Linked DNA regions of Rhinolophus ferrumequinum. The protein of the gene in region 2 interacts with the protein of the main gene of each other region in a biochemical or structural test. Links are inferred from orthologs where the notes say so. Each region holds a gene or a part of one and is shown on either strand. Other genes may lie near its edges. The genes, in order: TEC and DOK1.

What was found.
Region 1: of the proteins of DOK1 (region 2) and TEC, one has a biochemical effect on the other in vitro, tested with the Homo sapiens proteins (2 studies listed by BioGRID, with this or other methods). The link is inferred for Rhinolophus ferrumequinum from reciprocal best matches to the Homo sapiens genes DOK1 and TEC.

What each region holds. Positions count from the first base shown.
Region 1 is NC_046288.1:8,158,762-8,162,665, reverse strand, and holds the start of TEC (tyrosine-protein kinase Tec), read right to left. Parts: upstream 2,290-3,904; 5' UTR 2,271-2,289; coding exon 2,169-2,270; intron 1,739-2,168; exon of another isoform or gene 1,719-1,738; intron 1-1,718.
Region 2 is NC_046296.1:17,510,238-17,514,141, forward strand, and holds the start of DOK1 (docking protein 1), read right to left. Parts: upstream 2,525-3,904; 5' UTR 2,450-2,524; coding exon 2,390-2,449; intron 2,205-2,389; exon of another isoform or gene 2,080-2,204; intron 2,072-2,079; coding exon 1,772-2,071; intron 1,602-1,771; coding exon 1,508-1,601; intron 1,320-1,507; coding exon 1,135-1,319; intron 880-1,134; coding exon 67-879; 3' UTR 1-66. UniProt on the Homo sapiens protein: DOK proteins are enzymatically inert adaptor or scaffolding proteins. They provide a docking platform for the assembly of multimolecular signaling complexes. DOK1 appears to be a negative regulator of the insulin signaling pathway.

The DNA.
Region 1 (3,904 bases), on a different chromosome or scaffold from region 2:
AGATGGAGGCAAGTTTGAAGATGAGGCAACAATTAAGCCCCTCTCTTCTGGGCTTCTTTCCAACAAAGCTATTCTTATGGCATAATCACATGGTACAGGGTAATTTTCCTATTGCCAGTGACCATGGACCAATTTTACTCCTTTCTCACAGGTCTGAATGCCCAATTTATGACCCTAAACCAACCAAGGCAGCTGGCCCCCAAAGCGGTTGATCTGGGTTCAACCTGGGTTACTCAATTTGCCTATGAAGACTGGATAAGAGGAGAGCATAGTAAGGGATCTGAAACAAGTGACACTGTCATCAACAGATATTTACTGAGCATCCTTAGCAAACCCAGCACCAGGCTGAGGATCAACTCGCCTATCAACTATGTGGACCAAGTCACCCTGCCCTGAACAAAAAGGTGATTCTCCCTAGGGGTGGGAATCTGGGATGGATGGAGTGGGGTGGAAGGGATAGGAAGGATGGAGAAGGAGCTGAAAGAGCTGGGCCAGAGAGAGGAGGCACCAACTAGGTCAACCTGGAGAAACCTGCAGGCTCAGAGGCCCAAGGCCCAGGCTCCTAGCACTCTGAATACTCAAAGGAAGGCAGGGAGACCAACAATTCTTCCCCAAGCATAAAAGTGGCCAGACACCACCCACAATCCCTCCAACCACCCTGTCAAGGGCCAACTTCAGGAAGCAAAAGTCACGATTCTCTGAGCTTTACCATAAGATGACAAAGCAGAGTCCCGGCCCTTCAGTAACTAGCTGCTGAAAAAAACATTCTTATTCTTGATACAGAATAAGGGAAACATCAAGTTAAAAGTGCTAGAGCATACATTAATATTCTATATTCTTTCCTATTTGAGATGTGAAAATTTTAGTTCAAGGACCTACTTGCGGCAAAGGTATTGCTGACTAGAACACAGTACTGATTTGCATGTGTGTAACACTTGCCTTACAGTTTCACTTGCCTTACACAGTTCCACAAACCAAAATGTACACATCCTTGTGAGAAGACTCCAGATCATTAACACAAACCCACTGCAATAAGCATCATGACTTGGCAAGTGTAGTAATATATTGATCAGATGAACTGGAGCATGGGGAAAGTATAGGTCTTTCCTAGACACGTGAAAATGTCACTAAACTAAAAACTAGTTTCAAATACTTAATGAGAAAATTACACACTTCTTTTCTCCATATAAATCATAACATTCCGTACTGCATGAGATTCTTCCTGACTAAGGAGCTACTAGTGTCACAAATTAACCTGACAAATCTTGAACTTATTTTGGAAACCCACTTGTTTGTAGGGGTTGATTTTTCCTCCCCAGCTCTTTAGGGGAGAATCATCTGGAAGAGAGTTAATTCTCAGAATTTCCTAAAAGGAAAAATAGGCACTCACTGGGGAAAATGCAGGGTATATGCTCAAAAAGTAACTATTTTGGATAACCTTCAAACCCACTTAGCCTCCAGCCATCCAATTAACACCGAGATCTACACTTCTCATCAAATATGCCAGTTTCCAACGAATGGCAGTGGATGAGACTGTTTCCAAACCTGAATTTAGGAGTTAAAGTGAATACTCCTGGGTCGATCAAGGCCCTAGTTTTAATGATATACTCCCTGAACCCCTGTTTTCAAGATTTAACTACAATTTCCCAGACTAAAAGAAAGAAAAAAGTGTGAAGTTGGTGGGGTGAGGCACTCGGACCCGGGCAACTGTGGAATACCTGCGTCGCTTCTGCCAACTTTCAATCAAGCCTGCGCTGCCGCCCCAGCAGAGAGGAGGAATCTACCCAGCCACGCTGCTGGGAAGCGAACCCAGCCCTGAACTTGCCGCGAAGCTGCCTCGGCCCCGGGACCCCGGGAGAAAGGGGCGGACGCTCCTCGGGAGAGACCAGCGCCGGAGCCCCGGAGGCGGAGGGGCGGCGGCCGCCGAAACGGCCCTACCTGCGCCTTCTTCCTGGACCGAAGAGGACAGGATCCCGCACTGGCGTGGCGCGTCACGCTCACCGCGGCGCGGAGGTGGGGAAATCCCTCCTCGTTCCACGATGGTCAGTCTTGGTTAGTCTCGAAGCACGTGGAAGCCACCTCTCACCGCACGCATCCCCGTCCCGACCCTTCCTCGCCCGAAGTCCTGCAGTCCCCGGGGTGCCCCCGAGGGCCCACGGCGCCCTTACCTGGCAGGAGAGCGCAGGCTGCGCGGAGCCGGAGAGAATGCGAGGTCTGGCGGGCGCGGCGGAGTCCGGAGCTCCGGGCCTCTCAGCCCCGCCCGCGACCATCCCGCCCCGCCCCGTCCCCCGGTCGCTCCGCCCCCGCTCCCTACCGCGGGCGGCGATCGGCTCCCACCGCCCTGCCACGGTTTTGAGACCCGAGGCCTGAGTTCCGGGGAAGTCGCAAAAGTGTCCCCTGTGTTCCCGAACGACACGCAGGGACTCCCTAGTCCCGGGCTTCCTGTCCCGGAGAACCGCCCCGCGAGAGCTCGTACATCCCTGGCCTGGGAGCACCCAGAGCGGTGCCACCTGTGGGTTACTGGTTACTCTGTCGGAATTAGGGACCACACCTCCTCTTCCGCTAAGCGGTGGGGGGCCAGGCGGATGACAGGGCAGTGGAGCGAAGCGACGAGCTTTACCAAAAGAGTAAGTCTTCACTGTCACACCTGAGGCCGCGGAGGATATCTGACACACTTAGAGGGCCACCTGCACTCATGTTCATGTATTAACACTTCTGTCAAACTCATTGAAGAGTAGAAATCAGTACTTATATAAAACTGACACTGTGCCAAGCACTGTTCTACATACTTCACATATATTACCATTCTATAAAGTACGTATTTGTTATCAGAATCCCTCATTTTTACATGTGGTAAAAGGGAGGCGTAGAGGAGAGTTAAATAATCTCCAGAGTCCGCACCCTTAACCACTGCTATCCTGACTCTAAAATCTGAGTGTCTACCATGTCCCATGAACTCTTCCAGGCTTAGGGAATACAAAACAGGGCTCTGCCCTCAAGGAGTTCTATTCTAGTGTAGGGAGAAAGACAGTAAGTAATCAATAAGCAAGTAAAAAGAAAACGATTGCATATGTGGGAAGTGTCTTGACTAAAATGAAGCTGAGTGATAGAATTGAGAGTGAAGGGGGAGGCCACTTTAGATCTGGTGGTCCTGGAGGCCTCTCTGAGGAAGTGACCGTGGAGCTGAGAGCTGAATGACAGAACCTGGGCAGTCAACATGAAGATGAAAGGAATGGCAAGTGCACTAATAGTTATCATACTTCATGCCTGTTTGGGACTTAAAAATATACCTTCCTATAGGCTCTCCTTTAATCATGCAATAAACCTGAGAAGAAATCTGACAAAATTCCATTTTATAGAAAAAAGAAATCTAAGGGTACAGAAGTTTAATGACTTACTTAATTAGAAAAAGCAGGGGTTTGCGGCCAGGTGGCTCAGGTGGTTAGAGTGCGAGCTCTGAACAACAGGGTTGCCGGTTCAATTCCCACATGGGCCAGTGAGCTGCACCCTCCACAACTAGATTGAAAACAATGAGCTGCCGCTGATCTGCTGGAGGGCCGGCGGGATGGCTCAGTTGGTTAGAGCGCAAGCTCTCAACAACAAGTTTGCCGGTTCAATTCCCACATGGGATGGTGGGCTGCGATCCCTGCAACTAAAGATTGAAAATGGCGACTGGACTTGGAGCTGAGCTGCGCCCTCCACAACTAGATTGAAGGACAACGACTTGGAGCTGATGGACCCTGGAGTAACACACTGTTCCCCAAGATTCCCCAATAAAATTTAAAAAAAAAAAAAAAAAAGCAGGGGTATGCGAAGAGGGCACGGATTTGAACCAAGGCCTTCTAACTCCAAATCTTCTTTCACTCCGGTGAGGACCCTGAACATAATGTGACCTGTCCTCAGA
Region 2 (3,904 bases):
TGGTTCTAACAGGTTTCTTTGATCCCCATGGTCCTCCTATCAGCAACCCCAGCGTTGCCCTACTTCTCATGTGGAGCCTTCTGATTTGACCCCAGTCCTGTCGGCCCCTGTTCTAGGGAGCCCATAGTCCCAGCTCCCTGAGGCCCTGCTCTTCTGGACTTGGCTGTACAGGGCAGTGTCTGATAAGCTGTGGTCTTTGCTGCCACTGCCAGTTGCAGCACCAGATTCAGGGAAGGCCAGGCCCTGGGGCTTGGGAGCTGGGAGGGGCTTCGTGCTCCGAGGGGGTGGCACGGCATAGTCGTCAGTGGCAGGGTTGTAGGGGAGCTCGTAGCCCTCCTCCTTCGCCCGAGCCTGGCACCACCATGCATCCTTGGGCTCCTGAGGCAGATCATAAAGACCCCGGAGAGCGGCCGGGGCCCGGCCCTCAGGTTCATCATAGATGGGGTCCTCTTTGGGGTCTCTCAGCTTGGTCTTCAGTAACTGCTGCTGCACATGCTCATACAAGTCCCAATAGATAGTTTTCTTTAACTGTGCCTCCTCCCCTGCCTGTGCAGGGGTGCTGTCCAGGGGGTCTGAATATAGGGAATCCTGGGAAGGACCTGGAGGAATGCGCAGGGAGTCTAAGGGTTCAGCATACAGGGCTGGAAGGCTGCCGGGGAGCTCCTGGGTGCCAGGGAGGGAAGCCAGCTTCCCCTCTGCCACTTCTTCTTGGGAGTCAGCTCTGAGGACCTCCTGCCCCTGACCAGCCTTGCCCTGGGTCTTCTGCAGCTGGATAGCTGTCTCAACTGCCTGAAATATGTCATTTCCTTGTGCCGTCTGGAAGGTGAAGGTTCCAGGGCCAGAGGGGCAGCGGCGGCCAGCCTCAAAGGAGAACATAACCTGAAGAGAGTATGGGGGGAAACACATTATCAGAAGCTATCAGGGGAGGTAAATCACAGGGCTTAACTAGTTAGGGGGCCTACAAAGACAAGACTAGCTGGGAAGGAGGTGGGCTCATAGACTAGGCAAGGGTTATCCAGAGGGCAGAGCTTCCACCTTCCTGCCCTGCCCCCACCCCATCCACAGCCCCAGCCCCAGGAAGCCAATCCTCCCTGACAGCAACCCCATCCTACACACACACCCCCAACCCAGCACCTTATCCCTTCCATAGCGACGCAACAGAGTATAGGGCCAGGAGAGGAGTGGCTCCAGTATCTGACTCTGAGCTCCCACGGTCAGGAGAGCCAGCCTCTCAGTCTCCACTCGCAGCACATAGGAGCCATGCAGGCCACAGCGATCCGCCGCTTCAGTCCTCTGCACAGTGACCCAGAACTGGGATCCTGGAAGAGATACACAATTAGACTGACACCCGAGGAGGTGGGGGCGTGGTTCTCCCAGCACTCACTAGGAAACCAGCTCTCAGGAACTTCCTCCCTCCTCGTGGGTCTCTGGACCCCTAATCAGTCCCTTCCTAGGGGCACCCTTCCTTTCCACCACCCCACCCCTGCCCAGCTTCTCAGGCGGCTACCTTCCCAGGTGGGGCTATACAGCGAGTTCTCCAGCATCTCCAGGGCAGAAAGCTTGGGTGGGTTCTCGGCAGGCGCCAGAGGCCGGCTGCCTTTCTGGGATAAAGAGAACGAGAGTATTGAGGACCCTATCATTCCCTCAACGCGGTCCCCAGGGCCTGGGCCAGCCCAGTTCCTCTGCCTCTGTAACTACCCCCACGCCGCATCGCCTCTGGGGCCCAGTGCGGCTCTCCCCAGCCCCTCGTGGGCAGCCCCGGCCCGCTCACCGGAAAGGCGTTTAGGCACAGCGTTTGCACCCAGGCGGCGCTGGACGGCGCGTCGGCCGCCAGCAGGTGGGAGCGCTGTGCAGTGTCCAGGCGGAAGGCGATGGCGCCAGGCTCCGGGGGACTCTCCACGGCCACCGGCGCCACGCTCACACACTCGGCCAAACGGATCACCTTGCAGTCCAGGCGGCGCGAGCCCCCTCGGCCCGCTCCAGAGCTCGACCCTTTGTGGTCAAAGAACTCGAGGCGCGCTACGCCGTGGGCGCTGGCCGGGTAGAGCACGGCCCAGGTCTTCCTCCACCTCTGAGGAGAGAGAGCAAGCGACGCTGGGCAAGAAGCGGGCGACAGCCGGCGGCCGGCCCCGACGGAAAGGAGGGACCAGCGGAGGCCGCTTTCGGGTCTGAGGCTTCCTGACGGGCACGAAGTTTCCCGAAAAGTATGCCGCTGGATGTCCCCAAGACCAGTGAGGGCGTACCCCAAGGCGGGCAGACGGCGGGAGCGTCTCAGGGCTCCCGGCTCCTGGCGCCGCGCTCCTACCCGCAACCCACCTACTCCCTCTTACTGGGCCCTATCGCCCACCCCTAAGTTCTGATGGGGTTCGGTACCCCTGCCCCCGACTACCTTGGTACCGAAACGCTGACTCTGCAAAAAGAGCGGCCCTTCCATCACAGACCCGTCCATGGCCCCGGGCGGTTCTTTCCGCGCTTCCTGGCCCTGAGGCCTGAGGGCGGGGCGGGGGCGGGGCGGGGCGGGGCCGTGTCCAACCCAGGCGTTCCCGCCCCTTGCCCCGACCCTGCGGACCGTAATGAGGGAAGGAGGGAAACAGAAGGAAGGAGAGGAGGTCCCCAGATTAGCTGGGCGGTGCACCCCCTCCAGGCCCCTACCCACAGTCCTGGGACGTGCACAAGTGTCTTCACTAAAAGAAACCTCTCGGTTTCGGCCAGAGGGCTCCTGGCGCCTGGGCTTGGGCGCTTCGTACAAGTCATATGCTCAACGTGACATCAAAGTGAAGGCCGTGACATCACTTCGAAAATGCCGACGGGCACCCACAGGGGCCCCGTGGGCCCTCAGGGCCTCCGTTCCCGCCCTCCGACCGGACCCGCCCCCAGCCCGGCTGTTTACTCTCGGTGGTGCCTGGGACTTTGGGGGAAGGGCTGGGGGCTGAGGACTGGAAGGGTTCCCGTAGTCCCGAGCTGAGCCGCGGCCTCCCGCCGCCACAGGGGCCGCCTCCCGGGCCGGTGTGCGGCCCAGTGGCCTCTAGCTTGTCCAGCTCCCTGACAGCAGCTGCCTGTCCTCCAACCCGCGGGAAAAGAAAGCTTCATTGAGCCAGCCAGGAGGTGCAGGGGGCGGGGGACACGAGAGTCGGGGGAGATGGAACGACTGCAGCCAGCTTGCTCCACCAGGGAGGGGAGGTCCAAGAGGAGGGAACTGGCCTGGGAGGAATCCAGGGAGAAGGCGGAATGTGGGAGGGCTCAAGGGGACGTGGGAGGGACGAAGGGGAGGGGGTGTCCAGTCTTCCCTGGCCGAGCTTTTTTTTTTTTTTTTTTTGGAAGTCCCAGAACTGATCTCCAGGACCAGGAATCTTCTTCCAGCCCCAAGGGCCCCCGGCTCAGCCAAAGGTAGGGGAGTCAAGCTGCCGGCGGGAGCAAAGGGAGTTTCGGATAGAGAGGATGGTGGAGGGACCAGGGCAAATGGGTGATGTGGGATGGAGTGAGGGGAAGTCCACCAGCTGAGCGTTTTATTATTGTCAAAGAAGAGTGAGACGAGAAGAGTGGAGAGAGGACACAGATACTTGGGGGGAGGGGGCCCTGCAGGGTTTTCCGAATAGGGCGGCAGGGAGGGCCCTAAGGCTGGGGACTCCTCGGTGAAGCCCTACCCCTGGGCCCCCAATCCAAAATGTCCCCAGAACAAAGCTGCCCTGTTGGGTTGTTTGTCTGAGTCAGGGGAAGCATGTTGCGGGGGCTTGCAGTAGAGGGTCTGTTCTCAGCCTCAGACAGGGGGCAGGCCTTGGCTGAGGAGCTGAGGGTGCCCTGGCCTCCGGTTGCCCGGTGACAGTGGTGGTGATGTTGGCAGGAGGCTTGGGCAATCCCACCCCATCCCCCCTACCCAGCTTGAGGCCTGGTCCTCCTGGGCACC